Arabidopsis thaliana: one gene and its partners. The protein of the gene in region 1 interacts with the protein of each later gene in a biochemical or structural test. Each region holds a gene or a part of one and is shown in the gene's direction. Other genes may lie near its edges. The genes, in order: AT3G20650, IMPA-1, ADK1 and HOG1.

Region 1 (5,555 bases):
GGCATTTGCTATAACCGCGGTTTTACTAGACAAGTACGGGAGGAAACCGCTGTCCATAGGGACACAGTGGTTCAGCTGCGTTTTCTGCCTCGTTGGATTCTCTGTATGGGGAGCTGGTCCATGGAAATCAGTTAGAATGGTGTCAGGGGTTTTAGGGATATTCGGGATGGCAGGAACGTACAATCTTCTGTTCATATACATCGCGGAGCTGTTTCCAACAGTGGTGAGGAACGCGGCATTGGGTTGTGCGACTCAAGCAGCTCAAATGGGAGCGATTCTGGCGCCGTTTGTGGTGGTTTTAGGGGAAGAGTTACCTTTTGGGGTGTTTGCGGTTTGCGGGTTAGTGGGAGGTGGGCTTGCGTTTTACTTGCCAGAGACGTTAAACAAGCCGTTGTATGATACAATGTTTGGGATGCACGAAGCTGAGAGTGAGAGTAACAGAGAAAGAGGAGAAGTAATATGTTAAAAGAAACAGAATTTACACTTAGACATGGAGAGACACAAGTCAAGATCTTAGAAAATAGGTGTTTTTGAAATGTCGAATTGTTTTTGTAGTCTTACATGTTTCTTCGCTTTAACAGAGATAACATTGATTTTGCATTAAAGTCTATGGGTCTTGAAATGGTGGTACATGTTAACAGAGATAACATTGATTTTACTACCACAAACAATAAGCATTGTAATGCACGGTAAATACAAACCAATATTGCTTGCAAGAGAAACAAAGAAGTTAATCGGAAAGTGAAGATTGAACCAATTTTGCTTGCTAAATAATGAGGAAACGACTTATTTGTTATGAAATGATGGATTCTCATACTCTCCCTAGAACCGGAGGAGGCTTAACATCTTCAGCAACAGGAGAGGCTCCATTAACGTTGAATCCACCTCCAAGCGTGGGATGAATTCATTTTTTGACAAAAAAAATTCATACTGTATAGTGTATACGCTTGCAAATCCAAAACTATTCCTCCTTCTTACACAGACTAAATTACTTCCATGTTTTTATGGTTTTTGCCATGAGAGTATGGGACCATTGCATAGGCATATAAAGTTTTGATCGTATTCTTAAACCTTTTTTCATTTTTATGAAATATTTATGGATAGGTTATCATCGACGTGAAATTACAAGAACATTTAAAAAGAAGATAATCATAGTATGTTGTCATGCACATAAAATTAGTTTTGATGGCAAAATACCAAATATCATAGACTTGTTACGGTGTTACCAGTACGTAGCACTATCAATGCCATTCCCATGAAAATAAACATGTTGTTGGTATCAAATTCTCTAGTATTATTGAATTGAAGTTTACACTAATAATGTGATTGTCAAAAACTATGTTAATGTTATGAACTCTTTTACCAGTATTATTCTATCCTGAGGTCTTCTTTTATATTTTTTTGTTTCACAAATATATAATTAATTTTACGAAAAGTAACAGATCAGGTTCCATGGCCCAATGGATAAGGCGCTGGTCTACGAAACCAGAGATTCTGGGTTCGATCCCCAGTGGAATCGTTCTACATCGTTACCTTTTTTTTACCGGCCAAAATAATTTGTCGCCTCCGACTCGGAGCGGCGTGAAACAAGCCGCAGCCGCAAGCTAGTAAAACATAATTAAACCAAAATTTTGCTTTTTGCCAAAGAAACACAAACAAATCTTTGATTTAAGAAATCCCCAACTCCAAATCTTTTCTCCTTTATTTGGTTGTCTTAATTGGGTTCTTATTATTGAAGTACATCAAAGAGTTGCAGATAGAGAGAAACATTCGGTAACAAACATCTGAACTGTTGTTATGAAACGAGGATTCTCCGATTCTCCTTCAAGCTCTGCTCCTCCTCCTTCTTCCAGATTCAAATCTAATCCCGAAGGTTTCGTTTCCCTCTCTTCCTCCTCTGTTGATTCGATTTGTGTTCCACAAGGGTTTATTGATGATCCCTCCCTTGCTAGTTCCTTCTTTGTCCCTGAGAGTTGCTTTTGTTTGCCCGTTGGAAAAAGTTTCCTTCTTTATAGTTTCTATCAAGCTTTTCATTCTGATAGAGTGTTAACTGTGTGTTTGCTGTCTTGTTGGAGTTTTAGTTCTTAAGCTTTTACTTTGGATTCTATGGTTTTAATTGTTTAAAGTCTGTTTCTTTAAGCAATCGTTTCGCCAAAATGACTATGATTGTGTAAAGCTTAAAGTCAGATTCTGTCTTTCAGGTGATTCTCAGTTTCTGGAAGATGAGACTACAAAGAATTTTGCCCGGAAAGTTGCTGATCATTACAGTAGGAGAACAAACCAAACATTGGAAGAGCGAGAAGCTAGTCCCATCATTCATTTGAAGAAACTTAACAATTGGGTTGGTTACTCTTTAACATCTCTCTCTGTCCGTGAAACTTGTTGTATTATGATAATTCAATTTTGTTCCTCTTTTTCTTATTCTTATACAAACAGATTAAAAGTGTTTTGATCCAGCTTTATGCTCGTCCTGACGATGCTGTTCTCGACCTTGCCTGTGGGAAGGTTCTTGACTTAAAACAATCTTATTGTTCATGTCAATTGTTATTTCTCAAAACTAATCTCATTGTAATGCTTTTACCAGGGTGGTGATTTGATCAAGTGGGATAAGGCGAGAATCGGGTACTATGTTGGAATTGATATTGCTGAAGGGTCGGTAAGTTTACTGGCTGAATGATAGCTGTATCTTTATTTTGCATATATGTTTTATCTCTATACCTGAGAAGTGCTTCTATGTTGTACTTAATAACAGATTGAAGATTGTCGCACGCGTTATAACGGTGATGCAGACCATCATCAACGGCGTAAAAAGTTCAGTTTTCCGTCTCGATTATTATGTGGGGATTGTTTTGAGGTATAATGAGCTAAGCTCCTCTAGTAGTTTAGGAATCTTGTTGACATGGTATAATGAGATAAGTTCCTCTAGCTTCACTATTTGTAAATCCTAATTGTGTAATTGCTTACAGGTAGAGCTAGACAAGATTCTTGAAGAGGATGCCCCTTTTGATATCTGCAGTTGCCAGGTTTTATATGTTTCAATCTCCTTTCTGTTTTAAAGTACATATCCGGTCAAGTTTGAACAGTTTCAGATAAACTATTTGGTTTTACTAGTCACGAGACTCTACTTCGGCTTTGTAACTAGGTTGTGCCAAAATTAGTTTTTCCCACTGGCATATTGAAGTTGTAGCGTGGTTGAAATATAGTTAGTTGTGTAGTTATGGATTCTAAAGTTACCAAGTCATTGTTTAACTGTGTAGTTTGCTATGCATTACTCATGGACTACTGAGGCACGTGCACGACGAGCTTTGGCAAATGTTTCAGCTTTACTTCGTCCAGGAGGTGTCTTTATCGGAACAATGCCAGATGCCAATGTTATTATAAAAAAACTCAGAGAAGGTTATTTTCGTTTTCCTTCTTTGCTTAGAATTTGATCTGTGATCCTCTGAAAATTGAGTTGCTCTAGTTTCTCCTATACATTTTGTTCTAGTTTCTCCTCAGTGCTTCTGGGTTTTTGGAAATTAAACTGTTATTTGTTGTATACTGAATACGCAGCTGAAGGTTTGGAGATTGGTAATAGTGTTTACTGGATTCGTTTTGGTGAAGAGTATTCCCAAAAGGTGACCTTTCTTTGTCCTTAGTTTTGACTTTATCCGTTTTCCGGAAAGTCCTTTCTTTCCTGGTTCTAATGATGAGTTTCTCGTTGTATGGTTCAGAAGTTCAAATCTAGCAGCCCATTTGGTATCGAATACGTGTTTCATCTCGAGGTACCTAATTTATCTACAGTATTCTTGAGATATTCACTTAGTCTACCGCAGAAACTTAAGCATTGTAAAGGAAACTATATCTGTGTAAATATATTGTAAGAACACGACTACCTATTAAATGGAGATTCCAGAAACTTCCCTTGTCATGTTTGCTGTTAAAAAGAAAATATAACATAGGAACTTGTATTGTAGGATGCTGTTGATTGTCCTGAATGGATTGTGCCCTTTAACGTCTTCAAGTCTTTAGCGGAGGAGGTAAATACTTGATGCAGTGTTAACGTGAAAACCTTCTAATTGCTAAAAACACTGGTTCATATTTGTGAGTGTGACATTGTCCCATGAATTTTTGGATAGTATGATTTAGAGTTGGTATTTGTGAAGAACTCCCACGAGTTTGTCCATGAGTATATGAAAAAGCCAGAGTTTGTCGAACTCATGAGAAGGCTTGGTGCTTTGGGTGATGGTAGCAATGATCAGAGTAAGTCTTTGTTCGATTCTTGCTTCATATCATCCTTTTGATTCTAACCAAATGCGAGATAACAAAACTAACTTGATTAGTATCTTTCCAGGCACATTATCAGCTGATGAATGGGAAGCTGCATATTTATACCTCTCTTTTGTCTTGAGAAAGGTTTGTCTCCTTTTTATCATCTTTCAATCTTCACCTTTCCTGCTTCGTCGGTAATGTCTATTTAACGGGTGGATTTTATAGAGGGGAGAATCAGATGGAGCTCGAAGGAGCGGGCGGAGGAAGAATGGGAAAATGAACTTGTCGAAAGATGATGTTTTGTATATCGATAGCTGAAGTGTCAAAGAGTGTTTCTTTTACTCTTAGAGTCTCTGTTTTTGGTCTCACTTCGTTGTCTTACGTTTTTGGCCATTTGAATTGAGAGATTGCATTACTTTAGAAAAATCTGATCCGTTCACAAGAAAGAAGATGAGAAGAAGCCAAATAATATTATAGTCGTTGAACACTTGTGTTTTCAAGTGTATAGGCTTTGATATACCATCAGGATGATGAACATGGTTACCATCATGATCATTATTCATGATTTGTATTGTGATGTATTCGTAGCGTACTTTGTTTAACAAGGTCCATGCCTTTTTATTTGTATTACTATCTTTTGGGATTAGGTCGAGTTTGAACTAGAGGAAATTGAGAAAAATTTCAAGCTTTTGTTATGTTACTACTCTCTTAGTTTTTGATGTCAGTTTCTCTTTCTTTTACACTAAAAAGACGCACGATTGACGAGTTTTCTGTTTGTCCTTACAACAATCTCTTACGTAGGTAGAACAAATACAAGAAAGTTTCTAATAGAGCTTAAACAATTGAGAGATCAAACAAAACTTAATCACTACTTGTTTGTCTTTTGTCTCCTTAATTCCACAAGGGAGAGACTTGAAAGCATGTTCTTCCACACAAAGGTGTCGAGTGTACTTTCTGATCAAGAACAAAGTCGGTCGAGCATGTGACTTTGTTTGGTTCTTGTTTTTTGTGTGAAACATTCAGTTTTTGTTCATGTCTTTTGCAATAGATTTAACCAATCGAAGCCTCTGGTTGAACTAGTGTGCTCTACTTTTCTTTTATGGATTTGTGTTTCTTTAATTTTCGGTTAAAACCCGAAAAATATATCACGAGTAGATGTCTCTTAAATTAGAGATGAAACCAAAGAGCCTAAATTAAAAACACATCTGATTAACAGAACCTGTAGATAAGAACTGAATTACTTTATGTAAACTAATTGATACCAATACCACGTCATGCTTAATGAGAGTAATTATAGAAGAAAA
Region 2 (6,030 bases), 5.1 Mb from region 1:
ATGCTCTCTGTTTTCATTGTAGGACGCTCCAGAGAGACTTCCAGTTCACGAGTTTCTAATACGTGTTTGTGTTAATGAGAGCATCACCTTACGTGAGAATGGTTGTTCCTTGGGCTATGGCGTTTATCTTGAACACATACTGCCTTTCTTTACATCCTTTGGGCCAAGAAGTTGTTGTTGGGTTCAAGAGAGATTATGGAATGTCTACCAAGTCCGCATGTTTCTTAAATGGCCTGTTATACAACGGTCATCTTGTGTTTTTCATGAGGATACCCATACACGAGCCCATTATCGCGAGACATCCTGCTGGGTTTCAGGCTGACATCTTGATTAAGAATGTCTTAGGAGATGGGTTTGTGCTTGTTTTATGGAAATATAACAAGATCGTTTGTGAGTGGTATTATTCTCTATTGCAAAGCTTCTTCGGGGAACCTCCTAGGCTAGTTGGTGTTGCTGTTCACGAACTTGGAGCCATTGGACGGCTGCTTTTCTTTCTGGATAACAAATCTTTTGATGTAAGTCTAATGTCCCTTCTAGTTCTCTTCCTTCGTCCACCCTATGTAACTTAATTACCATATGGAGCATGTTTTGAATAACAGGTTCTGTTTGTTATCTTATCTACAGGCTCTTACCATCAGCATATGTGTGTCTTTCTTCTTTATTCTTCTGCCGTTTTCTTTTCGCTGGATTGCAATAGCAATTGTAGGAGGTGGCGGTTTATTCGAAAACTCACCTGTCATTCTTGGATACATGATGACGCTGTCAATTCCCTTTGCCTACTTAGGAATTTTCCTCACTCTGCGTCAAATCTCGTTTCCAGCCATAGTCAGGTGGTTTTCCTTGGGATATCACTTCATAACAAAGAAACTGTCCTGCCTCCTGAGCAAAAATCTCGTTTCCTGTCAACTGTTTCGCGACTAAGGCATGGCGGGGAAAGTTCAAGAGAATCAGAAACGTGGGAATCAATAAGCTTCCTTCAATGTGGCTGCTTCAAGATGTGATTGGTTCGATCATAACCACACTTCTAGCCACACTCTGCATCCCTTACTTGCTCTTGAAGTCTTTGTTACCTCTGCTTGGATTTTCCCGTAGCGCCAACCCAGCTATTGAGCCGTTTATCTGGCCGGCGTTGTTAGCCTTGATTGCGGTCTGGTTCATGGCCAAGCAAACTTATGATCTCGTCAGTTACTTTCATAGGTTGGTCTTCGATGATCGGTATGTAGTCGGTTAAAGAGTGGACAATCTGACTGAGGATATCTCGCTAGAGAGAAATAACTAATCCATATATGACAAACAACGACTTTTCATTGGAAAGGAAAAAATGTATAAACACAAACGTAGATTCAAAACTCAAAAAGTTATATAGTAACCAAGGTCTATATACGTTAATATTAAGATAATCGCAGTCCACTTGTAAGTCATGAAAACAAAAGGATCTTCAAATTGTTGAGATATAAAGAAGAATACATTAGCTTGCCTCAAAGAACACAATAGTAAGGGGCTAATTATGTAAATAACCTAATTGTGGACACCTGTTTGCATAAATAAATAGTGGCAAAACTGTAAATAAGTGAATATTTTAGCAATTACAGTATAAATTAAGAACAAAGATTAAAAATAAATAAAAAAGTGCTTTCATTCTTTGGATGCGCTGTTGTCAACTTGTCCCTCGCTGCCTCTGCTTCTTAACTCTTTCTTTATCACTTTTCCACTCCCAAATCAATTTTTAGGTTTTTTTTATAATTATAATTTATTTGCTCTCGGCAGGATCTATATAATACACAGACCAGTCTTTGCGTGTGCTTGTGTGCATTCATTGATCGGGTTTATATCTTTTCATCGGATTTTCTTTGTCGAGCAAGAGCCATGTCACTGAGACCCAACGCTAAGACGGAGGTTCGCCGGAACCGATACAAAGTTGCAGTGGATGCGGAGGAAGGACGACGGAGGAGAGAAGACAACATGGTTGAGATCCGTAAAAGCAAGCGTGAGGAGAGTTTGATGAAGAAGAGACGTGAAGGTATGCAAGCTCTTCAGGGTTTCCCTTCAGCTTCCGCCGCCTCCGTCGATAAGAAGGTACAATTCTGGTTTTTAGATGATTCGATTGTACTCCTTGTTGTCGGTTTTCTAGGTTTTTGTTTGTGATTTTCATGTCGGCTTACTGAGGTTTTAGGGTTTCGTTTTTGGGTTCTGGTTACGGTAGTTGTCTTGTGATTGATTGGCTTTAAAAAAACATTTGTAGTTGGATAGTCTGAAGGATATGGTCGCTGGGGTTTGGTCCGATGACCCTGCCTTGCAGCTTGAGTCCACTACTCAGTTCAGGAAGCTTCTCTCTATTGGTAATTCCTTTTCTTAATTCTCTTTTATTTCCCGTTTTGATATAATTTGGAGTGTCCCCTTTAACTTTTGTCTCTCTGTCTCTATTATAATTGCATAGAGAGAAGTCCTCCAATCGAGGAAGTGATAAGTGCTGGTGTTGTTCCTAGGTTTGTTGAGTTTCTTAAGAAAGAAGATTACCCCGCCATTCAGGTGAGATAATTAATGTCTCTTATTGATTCATTCTTCACTGTAATCTTCTCTTCTCATCTTTTATGATTTTTATTTTAGTTTGAGGCAGCTTGGGCTCTAACAAACATTGCATCTGGAACATCGGATCACACTAAGGTTGTAATCGATCACAATGCTGTTCCAATCTTTGTTCAGCTTCTTGCTTCCCCTAGCGATGATGTTCGTGAACAGGTATGGAACTTCTGATGACTACAGAATGTCTTCTCATTTATTATGAGAGATTATGCAATTGAAAATTTTGTGAAACCCTGATCTTAAGATTTCGCTCTAACCTGCAGGCTGTATGGGCTTTGGGTAACGTTGCTGGTGATTCACCACGGTGCCGTGATCTTGTTCTTGGATGTGGGGCACTGCTTCCGCTGCTCAATCAGCTTAATGAGCATGCTAAATTGTCCATGCTTCGAAATGCCACTTGGACCTTGTCAAACTTCTGTCGTGGCAAGCCTCAGCCTCACTTTGACCAGGTCTATTTTTTTCCCCTCCAAGCTTGTTTCGTCAATGTTTATGTCTAGTATTCTTCTAACATATGAAGCATGTTTAACAGGTCAAACCTGCTCTTCCCGCCCTTGAACGACTAATTCATTCAGATGATGAAGAAGTCTTGACAGATGCCTGTTGGGCTCTTTCTTACCTCTCTGATGGGACCAATGACAAAATCCAGACTGTCATCCAGGCCGGTGTTGTCCCAAAACTTGTTGAACTTCTCCTGTCAGTACCATTTTATAATTCCCTTATTTCATGTCCACTTCACACATTTGTTGACAAATAACTTGATACCTTGCTCTTGATTTTTAGCCATCATTCTCCATCTGTGCTAATTCCTGCTCTTCGCACTGTTGGAAATATAGTTACTGGAGATGATATACAAACACAGGTATGGATCTAAATCCTGTCTATTGAATTTCTCACAGTATTTCGGTTTTGCACATTGTATATGATAGTATATATTTTTCCTACTATGCCAAAGAATATCTTTGTGGTTATGCAATTCTTTGGCCTTTAGGAATAGGTCTGAAGATACCACTAGAACTTTTCATTAATTGAACCGATAGCAAAAACATGTCGAAGTTAGTGATATACCATGCATATCATCTAATCCAAGACTGGTAATTGCGATGAGGTGTTGTTCAAATGTATGGCACCCTGTTGCTATTATTCATATCCAACATTTTATGTGAAAAATGGGAGTATTGAATGCTTATCATGAGATTCTCCCTCTGTTGCCACTCTGTCCATATTAGCAGATAGGATGCAGTGCCTTTTTTGCTATATATTGCTTGTGTTTGAGTTTTGTTACAATTAATTCTTGTTTTAAAGTTTAAACCAACAACATGCACAAATTTTTTGCTTGGTGAAATTTGGTTTTTCATGAGTTTAGCAAAGGTGATTTTTCTATATCTGAAATAGTTTACATCGTTTTACTTGGAAATCTGATTTTACTTCTTCTCCAGTGCGTGATCAATAGTGGTGCTCTACCTTGTCTTGCCAACCTGCTCACTCAAAACCATAAGAAAAGCATAAAGAAGGAAGCTTGCTGGACGATTTCAAACATCACAGCAGGCAACAAAGATCAGATCCAGGTAGGCAATTAGTACTGTTTCATCATATGTTTTGTACCGTTTCCCATCCAGACTTCTATACCTATTCATTAATTGTGTTGTTTTTCCCCTGATGGTTGCAGACGGTAGTTGAGGCTAATTTGATTTCCCCGTTGGTGAGTCTGCTTCAAAATGCTGAATTTGACATTAAGAAGGAAGCTGCATGGGCAATTTCAAATGCAACTTCAGGTGGTTCTCATGATCAAATAAAGTATGTCACTGTCTTTTTTGCGTTCCTCTAACTTCCAGTTTCTTCTCTCATATATATACTTTGTGTATATATATATTGATGTTCTGTTCCCGTTGGTTATACAGATACCTGGTGGAGCAAGGGTGCATAAAACCATTATGCGATCTCCTGGTTTGCCCAGATCCAAGAATCATAACTGTCTGCCTTGAAGGATTGGAAAACATTTTGAAGGTGGGAGAGGCAGAGAAGAACTTGGGTCACACAGGAGACATGAACTATTACGCTCAGCTGATTGATGATGCAGAAGGGCTAGAAAAGATCGAGAACCTTCAGAGCCATGACAACAATGAGATCTATGAGAAGGCTGTTAAAATTCTGGAGACATACTGGCTTGAAGAGGAAGATGATGAGACACAGCAACCTCCAGGTGTTGATGGTTCTCAGGCTGGGTTCCAGTTTGGAGGGAATCAAGCTCCAGTACCATCCGGAGGATTCAACTTCAGCTGAAGGTAAATAAAAGTAAAAATTCTTAAATTTCTAACAACGTCTCTTGATGAAAACATGCAAAATCTGATATTTAGATCAATATAAACCCACAGGAATGGAATTGGAAGCTTGCAACTTGAGAATGGTGAAAGGTCAGAGTCAGTCAGAGTCTAGTTTCACTGCCATGGTTATACTCCAGGTCTGGTCTGGTCTGGTCTCAGAGGTTTGTACCGGGTGGTCGGTTTAAAAGTACAGCGTCTGAGAAAGTGTTTGGTTCATTGTCCAGGGCTATTTTTTTGAAATGACTGGTACACCGGTCGTGAGTCGACCTTTGTGTTGTTTTTAAATTTTGGAGGGTTATAAAAACTTACAGTGGAGTCTTTTGTTTTTGTGTTGACAACAGTTTGTATGTCGGTTAAAAAATTGAAACCATAAACCCTTTATTGGTCTTAATATGTTTGGTGTCTGATTTCCTAAGGAAAGGTTTTTTTTTTTTTGGTCAAACCTAAGGAAGGGTTTATCTTCGAGTTATAAAGACTCGAATCTTTATTTGAATTATGAAGTAAAGTATACATAAAACAGCAATAAATTATTATGAATTTGACTTTACCTGAGCAAGTAAATTGTAAAAAGACAAGAACTAATGAACTATTAGTATATGTCCAGTTCAATTGCCTTATCGTCTAAAACCCCTCAAAAGCTAAAACTGAAATCATTTTGAAGCAGAAATCGATTTCCAAAATGGCTCTTGTTCAATCCAGAACTTTTCCACACCTCAACACTCCGTTATCGCCGATTCTATCCTCCCTCCATGCTCCGTCTTCTCTCTTTATCCGGAGGGAAATCCGACCGGTAGCCGCGCCGTTCTCCTCCTCCACCGCCGGAAACTTGCCCTTCTCGCCGTTGACGCGTCCGCGAAAGCTTCTCTGTCCTCCGCCTCGCGGCAAGTTTGTCAGAGAAGATTATCTTGTGGTACGGACAATTTCTCGCTTTCTCTCACGCTCCAAACAACATATTTTGTCGATTTCAAAAAATTTCATGTTTGTTTTCGTTTTACGACTTCCTTTTTCGCCTTTCTGGGAAATTAAGTTGGCTGGGCATAGATGTAGTTATTATATAAGAACGATATATGGTAGTTCTATCAAAGATTCGACCAGTACACTGTTAAATACTTCAGAATAGAGATTT
Region 3 (5,349 bases), 4.2 Mb from region 1:
GTGAAAAACCCAGCACTTTTTGATGTCTTGGTGATGCCAAATCTCTATGGAGATATTATCAGCGATTTGTGTGCTGGACTTGTTGGGGGACTAGGACTGACTCCTAGGTAACATTTGTTTCTTCGTCTCACAGATTATTGTCTAGTATGAAAATGAGGCAATCATCTTATGCTCTTATTATGTTTTGTTCCAGTATGAATATTGGGGAGGATGGTATTGCCCTTGCTGAAGCTGTTCACGGCTCTGCACCTGATATTGCTGGAATGGTTAGTCATCATTCTTAGATGTTATCATCGTTCTAAATTCGTTTGATGCATAGAGTTGTTGTTAACTTGTTAAATTATTAGAGTAAATAGGATTTAGACACTGCATTACAGATTTTGACAAATTTAAGTGAACTTGCCTACTTTTACCCTAAAACTAAGTATGATAGAAGCTGTTCCTGAGAGAAGATTCTCCATTACTCTCTTCTATGCCATTTCTTGGTTGAACATTCAGAAGCTTTCATTGTAGAATGGATTATTGTCTAGTTTATATTGTAGAATGGTTCTTACTGGATGATCGTGCTTGTAGTACTTGAATGATGTTAATAACTGGCCAACCTAGCATTGAGGGTTAAGGAGTCTAATAAATAAATCATGTTTTCAAATACAGTGGGTTTAGATATTATCTTGCCACTATTCAATATCAGAACTTGATTCGATTTTTAGCTTATGATCCACATGTTTGTTATTCTTTGCTGGTGTTGTGTAGAACCTGGCGAACCCAACAGCTTTGCTACTGAGTGGAGTGATGATGTTGCGGCACCTGAAGCTCAACAAACAAGCAGAGCAAATCCACAGTGCCATCATCAACACAATAGCCGAGGGAAAGTATAGAACTGCTGATCTCGGAGGTTCCTCAACTACAACAGATTTCACAAAAGCCATCTGTGATCATCTCTAAACACCCGTGAAAAACCATAATTCTTTCCTTACTTACTTATTGGATCTTCCTCTTGGATTTTCACTCCAAAATTTTTCTACATATTGATCCTCTTCCTATGAGGAGAAACAAAGCCGCCATAGGCTTTAGACATTGACTTGTGTTTTCCTTAGATTTGAAGTTCTTGCAGAGCTGTATTACTTCTTCTGCCTTTAAGATCCATAACAAAAGAAGGATACAGATATTGGAAGAATCCATCAAAAGGTTCACATTTACAGTTTGTGGATTTTGCCTGAATTGTTTGGCGTTATGTCTTATTCTCTGTGAATTTTCAACAATAATAATATCGTCCCTTTTGTCCTTACCTAAATTGTTTGCCTATTCTCTGTGAATGAATGAATACATAACTCTCAAACCCTGAAAAGTGAAAACTTTCAATGCTGAAACAAACCAACGTGGATGATTCAGGACTTTTCAATGCCACCGACAAATTCAATCTTTTTCCTATTCATTTTGTAAGTTGCAATGCTGTCACATTTGGTTTTCTCATTGTTTTTAACTCTCTCTTAAAGAAACAACTTAATTAGAATTTTTATGTTCTTACAACAAGATCCAATAGACTTTTGGACATGTGTTGACACTTTTCTCAAGTGGGTTGGTGGGATAGGGACGTATATAGCTGCATTTGACAACAACACTACTCTATTTCATCAATTATTTCGTTACTCATAAATTTTGTTTCAGTTAACTTTTCTCTACAAATGAAGTTGAATGAAATGAACTATACTAAAATTTGGTTTAATATAGAATTAGAAATTCCAATGGCAAATTTATGCATGATTTTGAGCTAATATATAAATATACATTATTTTGCCCAAAAAAAAAGATAAATATGCATTAAAAAATAATATATATAAAATAATAGGAAGAAGAAGAATCTATCTTTGGTATACCTACTTTGGTTTCAGAGCTTATAAACACAAACACTTCACTCACACAAAACACTTGCTCCTCCATTTACCAGATCTGAACCTCTTCCCTTTCCTCGAAAATCCTTCTAACATCATCATCCATGGCTTCCTCTGATTTCGATGGAATCCTTTTGGGAATGGGAAACCCACTCCTCGACGTCTCTGCCGTCGTCGACCAACAGTTTCTCGACAAGTAAGCTCAGATCCGGATCGTTTTCGCTCGGATCTAGATTGTTTGTGTTTACGATATTCTTTATGGGTTCTCTGAATTCTAATGCTTTCTTTTGAATTCGTGACAGATACGACATCAAATTGAACAATGCGATTCTCGCAGAGGACAAACATTTGCCCATGTAAGTGAATTCACTTTTTCTCAATCCTAGCGTGCATTTGAATTCAAATGGTGATAATGAGGATTGATTAGTATTTACTCTTCAAGTTGTTCTGTAATTGATGTGGATATGTATATGTAATCTGCGTAGAAGAATTATGATTTGATTGTGACAAGTGCTATGTTTAAGGGAAACAGACACAAGTGTGGTGATTTTTCATTGCCCTTAAGTGATTCTTGATGTGATTTTAATATGACAGTGATTATTTTTCAAATACTCTTTGTTTATTCACATGATAATTGGTATGTTTAGGTACGATGAAATGAGCCAGAAGTTCAATGTTGAATACATTGCTGGAGGTAATTCATCTTTTGAGCTATCAATAGACATTTGGTGTTCATGTGTATTTGCAGTATTTTTGATATTTTCTTGATTTCGTTTGGCTTTCAGGTGCTACCCAGAACTCAATCAAAGTGGCCCAGGTAAAGGATAATTACGGTTTCTACTCATACTTGTTTTGAAGTTAGTACCTTTTTTTGCTAAATGAATGGTATCTTTGATTACTGCAGTGGATGCTTCAAGTTCCTGGGGCAACCAGTTACATGGGATCCATTGGAAAGGACAAATACGGAGAGGCAATGAAGAAGGATGCTACAGCAGCTGGTGTCTATGTGAGTCTGCTTTATGTTTATCAATTATTAATTATTGGTGGTTGGTTTTGCTTCATGTTCAATCATCAGGAAATAGACTGTTAATCTGCGCTTGTTCTGTATCCAGGTCCACTATTACGAAGATGAGGCAACACCTACCGGAACTTGCGGTGTCTGTGTTCTTGGTGGAGAAAGGTCAGTTTACAATAATTCTTTCTATGTCTGCTTATCATTTGTCTTAATAAGATGTGTTTCTGCTGAGTTGTACTGAGGCGTGTTTCCCCTTTTGCAGATCGCTCATTGCCAATCTTTCTGCTGCTAATTGCTACAAGGTTGAACACTTGAAGAAGCCTGAGAACTGGGCTCTGGGTACAAAACTCATCTTCTGACCTTTTTATTCTGAGATCGGATATTGTCATATGTTGGAGTTATCTGAGATTTTGTGAAACATATTTCTTTCTTGGCAGTTGAGAAGGCCAAGTTTTATTACATTGCTGGATTCTTCCTCACGGTATCACCAGAATCCATTCAGTTGGTACGTGAACATGCTGCTGCAAACAACAAGGTATGAATACATGATCCTTTATGAGAGCCAGGCACAGTGATTTGTTTCTCCTACCAGTGTTGTCTTTGGCATGAACAGTCCTGATATGCTCACATATTTGACAGGTGTTCACGATGAACCTTTCTGCTCCATTCATCTGTGAATTCTTCAAAGATGTTCAGGAGAAGTGCCTGCCGTAAGCACATCCTAATCTCTCGATCCATTTATTCCATCTTATAATTGCCTAAACTAATCACTGGCGATATACTGAAAAGCAAGACGCTGCATCTAATGTCTTGCTTGGACCAGGTACATGGACTATATTTTTGGCAATGAGACCGAGGCAAGAACCTTCTCCAGGGTTCACGGCTGGGAGGTAACTGTCGAAATTTCACCCTGTATTGTTTGAAGAAAGACAGTTTATTAATCTGTTTGGTTATATTTTATACAGACTGATGATGTTGAGCAAATAGCCATCAAGATGTCCCAGTTACCCAAAGCCTCTGGAACATACAAGAGGACTACTGTGATTACACAAGGCGCAGATCCTGTGGTTGTCGCTGAGGATGGAAAAGTGAAGAAGTACCCAGTCATCCCTCTCCCCAAAGAGAAGCTTGTTGACACCAACGGTGCAGGTATTTGTTAAGAACTCAGGCCTCACTAACTGCACTCTAACTAAGTCACAGCAGCTCGAATTTGCTACATTCCGTCCTAGATTAGATACAGCTTAACTTATAGCTAAGAGTTAAAAGCTTATTATTGTTTGATGATATCAACCACTCATCTAATTATAGCATAAAAACTCTTATCCAAATCCAGGTTTACCAAACCGTTTGCTTTGTTATATTGTAATAAGAAGATTATCATACATTTTGTATCAGTCTCAAGTAAACTAATTCCGGTGGTTTAACCCTCTTGGTTCTCTGTGTTCATAGGTGATGCATTTGTGGGAGGGTTTCTGTCCCAGCTGGTGCACGGAAAGGGGATTGAAGAGTGTGTGAGGGCAGGATGCTACGCGTCAAACGTAGTGATCCAGAGGTCTGGTTGCACTTACCCTGAGAAACCAGACTTCAACTAAATCTAGAAGTCGCACAAATCATCCTTTTAGTTTTATCTCTGAATGAGATTTTGGTGATTATTATTATACGACCCAAATAAACTCTATGTTGTTTTCTTGTATCACCTTTTGAGGCTTTAAGCTATTATTGAGTGTGTGTTTTGGCTTGGTTTTATTGTACCTTTTTATGATTAATAAATATTATTACTATACTAGGCCGAGTATGATATTCCAAATGTCAAAATGTTCATAACTTGTTATATCTTCATGGATGTAATTATCCTCTATTTTTGTTTGAACTTGCTTCATTTCATGAAATAATTGAATGATCATTATTCCCTATAATGTACATTACTGTTATATTAACTAGTTTCTCTGTTCGAATTCTATTTGGTTCGGTTCAACGAAACAACATTGGACATTCCTATGCAAAGAAAATTTGCAGAATCTTTTGTGTCGGCACATGTATAGAACAATTTCTATTGAATCATGGAAATGACAAGTATAATGTCTCGTTTTGGATGTATTTGATAATGTAAAGTAGGACCAGTATGACTCGTAAAAGACTTTTGACTTTGGACGATATCAACAACTTTGACTTTTACTTCACTTGTACAGTTCTACTTTCTTATCTTCTACGTATACTAATCAAACGAATTTGTGCATAAATTGGCATGGGAAAGGCCACGAGTCAAATATGATTTGATCCATTTTAGTTTTAACATCTATTGGTACGTACGTGAAGTTACGAGATTTGAGTGAAGGCGAATAATATCAATACGAAAAGTACAAAACCGGGATCAAACCGCAAATTGTAACACAGCAAGCGTAAGCAACACGACAAAGTGGTATGGATTAGTTTAACATAATC
Region 4 (4,953 bases), on another chromosome or scaffold:
AATCTCACTTATAAGTTGTAATAATAATGTTCATTAGTGCATTAGTTTCCTCCTTCGTTGCCCAACAAAAGAATAAGCTATCATTGACAGTTTTATGATATTCGGAGTTCCAAAATCATTTTTCGAAACTCGGCCTTTTAAGGCATTTGGATCAAAACTTCGGTGCATATACTAAAAACATATGGATATATCGGGTTGAGTCGCCTCGTAGAATTCCTCGAGAAGATATATATTTTGACTTGGTGCTGGCCATTTGTAAGAATAGCATAAGCCACCAGTCACCAAGATTATTCATCGTAAATTGTAACAAACTCACCATTATTTGGAGAGCCCAAAGATACTACTCAATCTTCTTACCATAAACTTTTGTCACTGTCTTATAAGCTATAAGATTACTGGTCTACTTAACTCAGAAATATTTATGTCCTTTGTAGCCAAAAGCTACACTGAAATTGACACAACTCGAGTGTTGTCCTTTTCTGGTCGATTGAATAGAATCGAATGTCTTAATCCAGTACCCTCCAGCTTTTATTTCGTGTAATTTATTTTCCAAACCTACCACTACCAGTTTCATAACTCTCGAATAAATTTATCAAATAGTCTTTTGAGTGCTCAAAGTCTTGGGATAATAAATGGTCAGTGCTATGTATCACCCGGATGTGAAACATTATGGGTGGAGATAGACTATTATAAATTTATTGAAATATACGATTGTTACTCGTTTAATAGCAAAAGTAGTACAATGTATATAGTTTCTATCGAGAACAAGATCTATTTAAAATTCGAAAAGTACATTTAAAATTCATAAACATATAAAGATAGTAACATGTTAGATCTGCATAGTACCACCAAAACAAGAAAAAAGAAACGCACATCGCCACATAATTGCTATGATTCTCACTGTCGGCTGCTTTGAAATATTACGATTCTTTTGGTAAATCACACAACATAATATAATTACAATAAATATATATATACTAAAGTATAATTAATATAATTAATACCACATTGTTTAATTCTGTTTTGATCTTTTAAGATCAGTCAGATCCACCGACGTTCCTACACGCGCAGGTCCAGATCCAAACAGCACACACACACACACAATGCCACTAGTGTAAATGCTTGGTGGCTATTGCATTTGCACCTATTGATACTCTTTCTTCAAAAACAAGTTATTGTTTTTATTTTCAACCCAACTTTAATACGGATTCATACTGGGATTTAGGTGTTAAATCTGATAATTTAGGTTTGAATAAGTTGTATATTTGTTTCTTTGATTAAAAAAAGAACCTATATATATACAAAAATAAATAAAAAGTTCTAGATTTCAATTTTCCGTATATAGCGGGTTGAATTGTCTATTTTAATATGAAAATTGACGGATCTTATAAACAAAATGTTCTGAAATATGTAAAAGGATTTAGCCAAAGTTAACCAAAAAAAAAAAACAAACAGAAAAGTCACATTCACATGTCGTGGTAGATCTAAGGCATTAATTTAGAAATATGTCGTTACAATAAGCGGAGAACATGGGACGTTTCTCGTGGTCCAATCAGACGAACGAGATCTCATAAATTAAATGACTTCAGACGAGGGAATTCATGGCAGAATGATAATGCAACTTAAGTGACTTTAGAGTGAAAATGATACGAGAACAATGCATAATCCATATGACCGTTGAGTGAGTGATACCATTAGCGCGATACAAGCGGGACTATAAACTGATCTAGATTGTTTTTCTTGGGAAAAAATGTTACAAATTTTAAATATGTAGTTTGAATTGTTAAACCAAGATTCAACAGAAATATACCGTAAATAAACAACAGTTGATAATAGTCATCGAAAAGATATCAACTGATTCTTCACTTGGGCTACTGTGACGGCCCGTTAGGGTTCTCAATATAAGTCAATAACTACGATCTACGATTCACTGAAACAAATAAAACACAGCCACGTGTCCACCCTCCCACATCACCGTCCGATCTAACCCACGACAAGCTTACAACACGGGTCATACCGCTCGTGCAGCGTGTTCCGTCATCCACGGGATTACAACTTCTACCAGATCCACCAAACCCTCAAAACAATCTGAACCGTTCATTTCATTTTGACCTCATCTATATATTCTCTGTCACTCCCTTTCTCTTCTCCTCGCACACACTTCTCTCTCTCTCTCTCTCTGCCTCCTTTCGGATTCAAATCTCAGATCTAGCTCAACCATGGCGTTGCTCGTCGAGAAGACCTCAAGTGGCCGTGAATACAAGGTCAAAGACATGTCTCAAGCCGATTTCGGTCGTCTCGAACTCGAGCTCGCCGAAGTTGAGATGCCTGGACTCATGGCTTGTCGTACCGAATTCGGACCTTCTCAGCCATTCAAAGGCGCTAGAATCACCGGATCTCTTCACATGACCATCCAAACCGCCGTACTCATCGAAACCCTAACTGCTCTCGGTGCTGAAGTCAGATGGTGTTCCTGCAACATCTTTTCCACTCAAGACCACGCCGCCGCAGCCATCGCTCGTGACTCCGCCGCTGTTTTCGCCTGGAAAGGTGAGACTCTTCAGGAGTACTGGTGGTGTACCGAGCGTGCTCTAGATTGGGGTCCAGGTGGTGGTCCTGATCTGATTGTTGATGATGGTGGTGACGCTACTCTTTTGATTCATGAGGGTGTTAAAGCTGAGGAGATCTTTGAGAAGACTGGTCAAGTTCCTGATCCTACTTCTACTGATAACCCTGAGTTTCAGATCGTGTTGTCTATTATCAAGGAAGGTCTTCAAGTTGATCCTAAGAAGTACCACAAGATGAAGGAGAGACTTGTTGGTGTCTCTGAGGAAACTACCACTGGTGTTAAGAGGCTTTACCAGATGCAGCAAAATGGAACTCTTTTGTTCCCTGCCATTAACGTTAACGACTCTGTCACCAAGAGCAAGGTATTGATCTTCAGATTTGTTTCTTTACTAGTGATGATAAATCTGCTAGGTCTTTAGCTCTGTAGTTTTTGATGCGATAGGCTTAACAACAACATAATCACTAAGTAGAAGCAAGCTTTTCATTGTTGGTTGTTGAAAGTATTACGATCTAGTAGAGAAAAGTCCTTCCTTGGTTACAGAATTTGCATGAAAAGTCAATATTTCTCATGCTTTCTTTGATTTTATATTCAACGTTTTGTTTACACTTATGTGCTGTTACTGATAAATTCATTTGTTCTTGATTTACAGTTCGACAACTTGTATGGTTGCCGTCACTCACTCCCTGATGGTCTCATGAGGGCCACTGATGTCATGATCGCTGGAAAGGTTGCTGTTATCTGTGGATATGGTGATGTTGGAAAGGGTTGTGCTGCTGCCATGAAGACTGCTGGTGCTAGAGTCATTGTGACTGAGATTGATCCCATCTGTGCCCTTCAAGCTTTGATGGAAGGACTTCAGGTTCTTACCCTTGAGGATGTTGTCTCAGAAGCTGATATCTTTGTCACCACCACCGGTAACAAAGACATCATCATGGTCGACCACATGAGGAAGATGAAGAACAACGCTATTGTGTGCAACATTGGTCACTTTGACAATGAGATTGACATGCTTGGACTTGAGACTTACCCTGGTGTGAAGCGTATCACCATCAAGCCACAGACTGACAGGTGGGTGTTCCCAGAGACCAAGGCTGGAATCATTGTCTTGGCTGAGGGTCGTCTGATGAACTTGGGTTGTGCCACTGGTCACCCAAGTTTCGTGATGTCTTGCTCTTTCACCAACCAGGTGATTGCCCAGCTCGAGCTCTGGAACGAGAAAGCAAGCGGAAAGTACGAGAAGAAGGTGTACGTTCTTCCCAAGCATTTGGATGAGAAGGTTGCATTACTTCACTTGGGCAAGCTTGGAGCCAGGCTTACAAAGCTGTCAAAGGACCAATCTGACTACGTCAGCATTCCAATTGAGGGACCATACAAGCCTCCTCACTACAGGTACTGAGAGAGAGAGAGAGTCGACAAAGCGGTTCAGGTTCGGATCTACTTGTGGTTTTGTGTTGGGTTGTGGTGGGAGAGTGGAACAGTTTGAGATATTGGTCTTCTGATGAAGTTGACCAAATATCAGTATTAATAAGGGTTATTGGCTTTTGAAGGTTGTGCTTGTTTTCTCCATTTTTCATGAAACTTAAATTAGTTTTTGGTTTAGTTTCCCTCTTGATTTTATTTTGTGTGTTCTGTTTAGCGTTGTACTCTTCAAACAAATGAGAAACCAAAAAAAAAGGGGAAACTTGTTTTCGGCATCCCAGTGTTAGCGACTTTTGTTGAATGAATGTCTCAAATGCTCATCTTTAATAATGTGTGTTAGGACACGAACAACACATGGTTCGATTCGTGGGGGATTTTATGGTTGTAGTTATTATCGTACACGTTTCAAAGTTCTCTTAAGTATTCAAAAAGGCTTTTCCAATATAAATTTTTGATAGCATTTAGCTATAAGATTCGTTTTCATTTTCTTCAATTCTATGTCATCACTGATAAAATCTGCTTTGAAAATTTCAAAATTTATTACTTTTGCAAGAAGAATGTGAACGTTCCTACAAAGAGAGGGGTAGAAAATAAAAACTGGACTCGAAGTAGGAACCCAAACCCGACTGAAAATACTCAAGAGTCCAAGCCCGTTCTAGATAAATACCAAAATGGGTCTTAAGGCTTGGTATTCGGGTACATGATAATATCTGATCCGAACTGAAACATGAACTGTTTACCCGAAACCAGTGGCGGAACTACGTAGGGGGCAGGTTAAAATTCAAAGTGGTGAACGAGTACGGCCTCGAGAGTTTATGGAGTAAGATTCGAATTAGCGTTTCCTACGAAACGCATGAAACCAGTACGTTCGACCAAGAATGATGAGGAGGTTCTTCTGGTTCTCGATGCAAACTTGGGCTTGTACAACTTTGAGTGTAGTACTTGAGAGGAATTAATCTAGAAAT

The links.
Region 2: the proteins of AT3G20650 (region 1) and IMPA-1 form a complex in vitro, tested with the Arabidopsis thaliana proteins (one study listed by BioGRID).
Region 3: the proteins of AT3G20650 (region 1) and ADK1 form a complex in vitro, tested with the Arabidopsis thaliana proteins (one study listed by BioGRID).
Region 4: the proteins of AT3G20650 (region 1) and HOG1 form a complex in vitro, tested with the Arabidopsis thaliana proteins (one study listed by BioGRID).

The regions. Positions count from the first base shown.
Region 1 is NC_003074.8:7,220,182-7,225,736, reverse strand, and holds AT3G20650 (mRNA capping enzyme family protein), read left to right. Parts: upstream 1-1,646; 5' UTR 1,647-1,797; coding exon 1,798-1,873; intron 1,874-2,201; coding exon 2,202-2,341; intron 2,342-2,436; coding exon 2,437-2,505; intron 2,506-2,584; coding exon 2,585-2,656; intron 2,657-2,752; coding exon 2,753-2,854; intron 2,855-2,966; coding exon 2,967-3,023; intron 3,024-3,257; coding exon 3,258-3,396; intron 3,397-3,552; coding exon 3,553-3,617; intron 3,618-3,713; coding exon 3,714-3,764; intron 3,765-3,956; coding exon 3,957-4,019; intron 4,020-4,118; coding exon 4,119-4,242; intron 4,243-4,333; coding exon 4,334-4,395; coding exon of another isoform or gene 4,396-4,449; exon of another isoform or gene 4,450-4,476; coding exon 4,477-4,569; 3' UTR 4,570-5,004; downstream 5,005-5,555. Other genes in the region: OCT4 (organic cation/carnitine transporter4), read left to right, coding at 1-466. UniProt on the Arabidopsis thaliana protein: mRNA-capping methyltransferase that methylates the N7 position of the added guanosine to the 5'-cap structure of mRNAs. Binds RNA containing 5'-terminal GpppC.
Region 2 is NC_003074.8:2,118,693-2,124,722, forward strand, and holds IMPA-1 (importin alpha), read left to right. Parts: upstream 1-1,651; 5' UTR 1,652-1,866; coding exon 1,867-2,076; intron 2,077-2,242; coding exon 2,243-2,339; intron 2,340-2,437; coding exon 2,438-2,529; intron 2,530-2,607; coding exon 2,608-2,739; intron 2,740-2,846; coding exon 2,847-3,032; intron 3,033-3,112; coding exon 3,113-3,276; intron 3,277-3,363; coding exon 3,364-3,442; intron 3,443-4,019; coding exon 4,020-4,148; intron 4,149-4,249; coding exon 4,250-4,377; intron 4,378-4,481; coding exon 4,482-4,863; 3' UTR 4,864-4,865; exon of another isoform or gene 4,866-4,875; intron 4,876-4,955; 3' UTR 4,956-5,474; downstream 5,475-6,030. Other genes in the region: AT3G06710 (E3 ubiquitin ligase), read left to right, coding at 75-515, 625-921; TRX z (Thioredoxin z), read left to right, coding at 5,584-5,814. UniProt on the Arabidopsis thaliana protein: Binds to conventional NLS motifs with high affinity in the absence of an importin beta subunit. Mediates nuclear protein import across the nuclear envelope in vitro in the absence of exogenously added importin beta subunit.
Region 3 is NC_003074.8:3,010,126-3,015,474, forward strand, and holds ADK1 (adenosine kinase 1), read left to right. Parts: upstream 1-1,654; 5' UTR 1,655-1,996; coding exon 1,997-2,088; intron 2,089-2,194; coding exon 2,195-2,248; exon of another isoform or gene 2,249-2,519; coding exon of another isoform or gene 2,520-2,539; coding exon 2,540-2,586; intron 2,587-2,677; coding exon 2,678-2,709; intron 2,710-2,796; coding exon 2,797-2,898; intron 2,899-3,004; coding exon 3,005-3,072; intron 3,073-3,169; coding exon 3,170-3,246; intron 3,247-3,344; coding exon 3,345-3,442; intron 3,443-3,546; coding exon 3,547-3,617; intron 3,618-3,730; coding exon 3,731-3,797; intron 3,798-3,872; coding exon 3,873-4,056; intron 4,057-4,356; coding exon 4,357-4,499; 3' UTR 4,500-4,819; downstream 4,820-5,349. Other genes in the region: IDH-VI (isocitrate dehydrogenase VI), read left to right, coding at 1-107, 194-266, 754-945. UniProt on the Arabidopsis thaliana protein: ATP dependent phosphorylation of adenosine and other related nucleoside analogs to monophosphate derivatives. Essential to sustain methyl recycling.
Region 4 is NC_003075.7:8,052,712-8,057,664, forward strand, and holds HOG1 (S-adenosyl-L-homocysteine hydrolase), read left to right. Parts: upstream 1-1,961; 5' UTR 1,962-2,219; coding exon 2,220-2,930; intron 2,931-3,218; coding exon 3,219-3,965; 3' UTR 3,966-3,995; coding exon of another isoform or gene 3,996-4,052; 3' UTR 4,053-4,441; downstream 4,442-4,953. UniProt on the Arabidopsis thaliana protein: Essential protein during embryogenesis.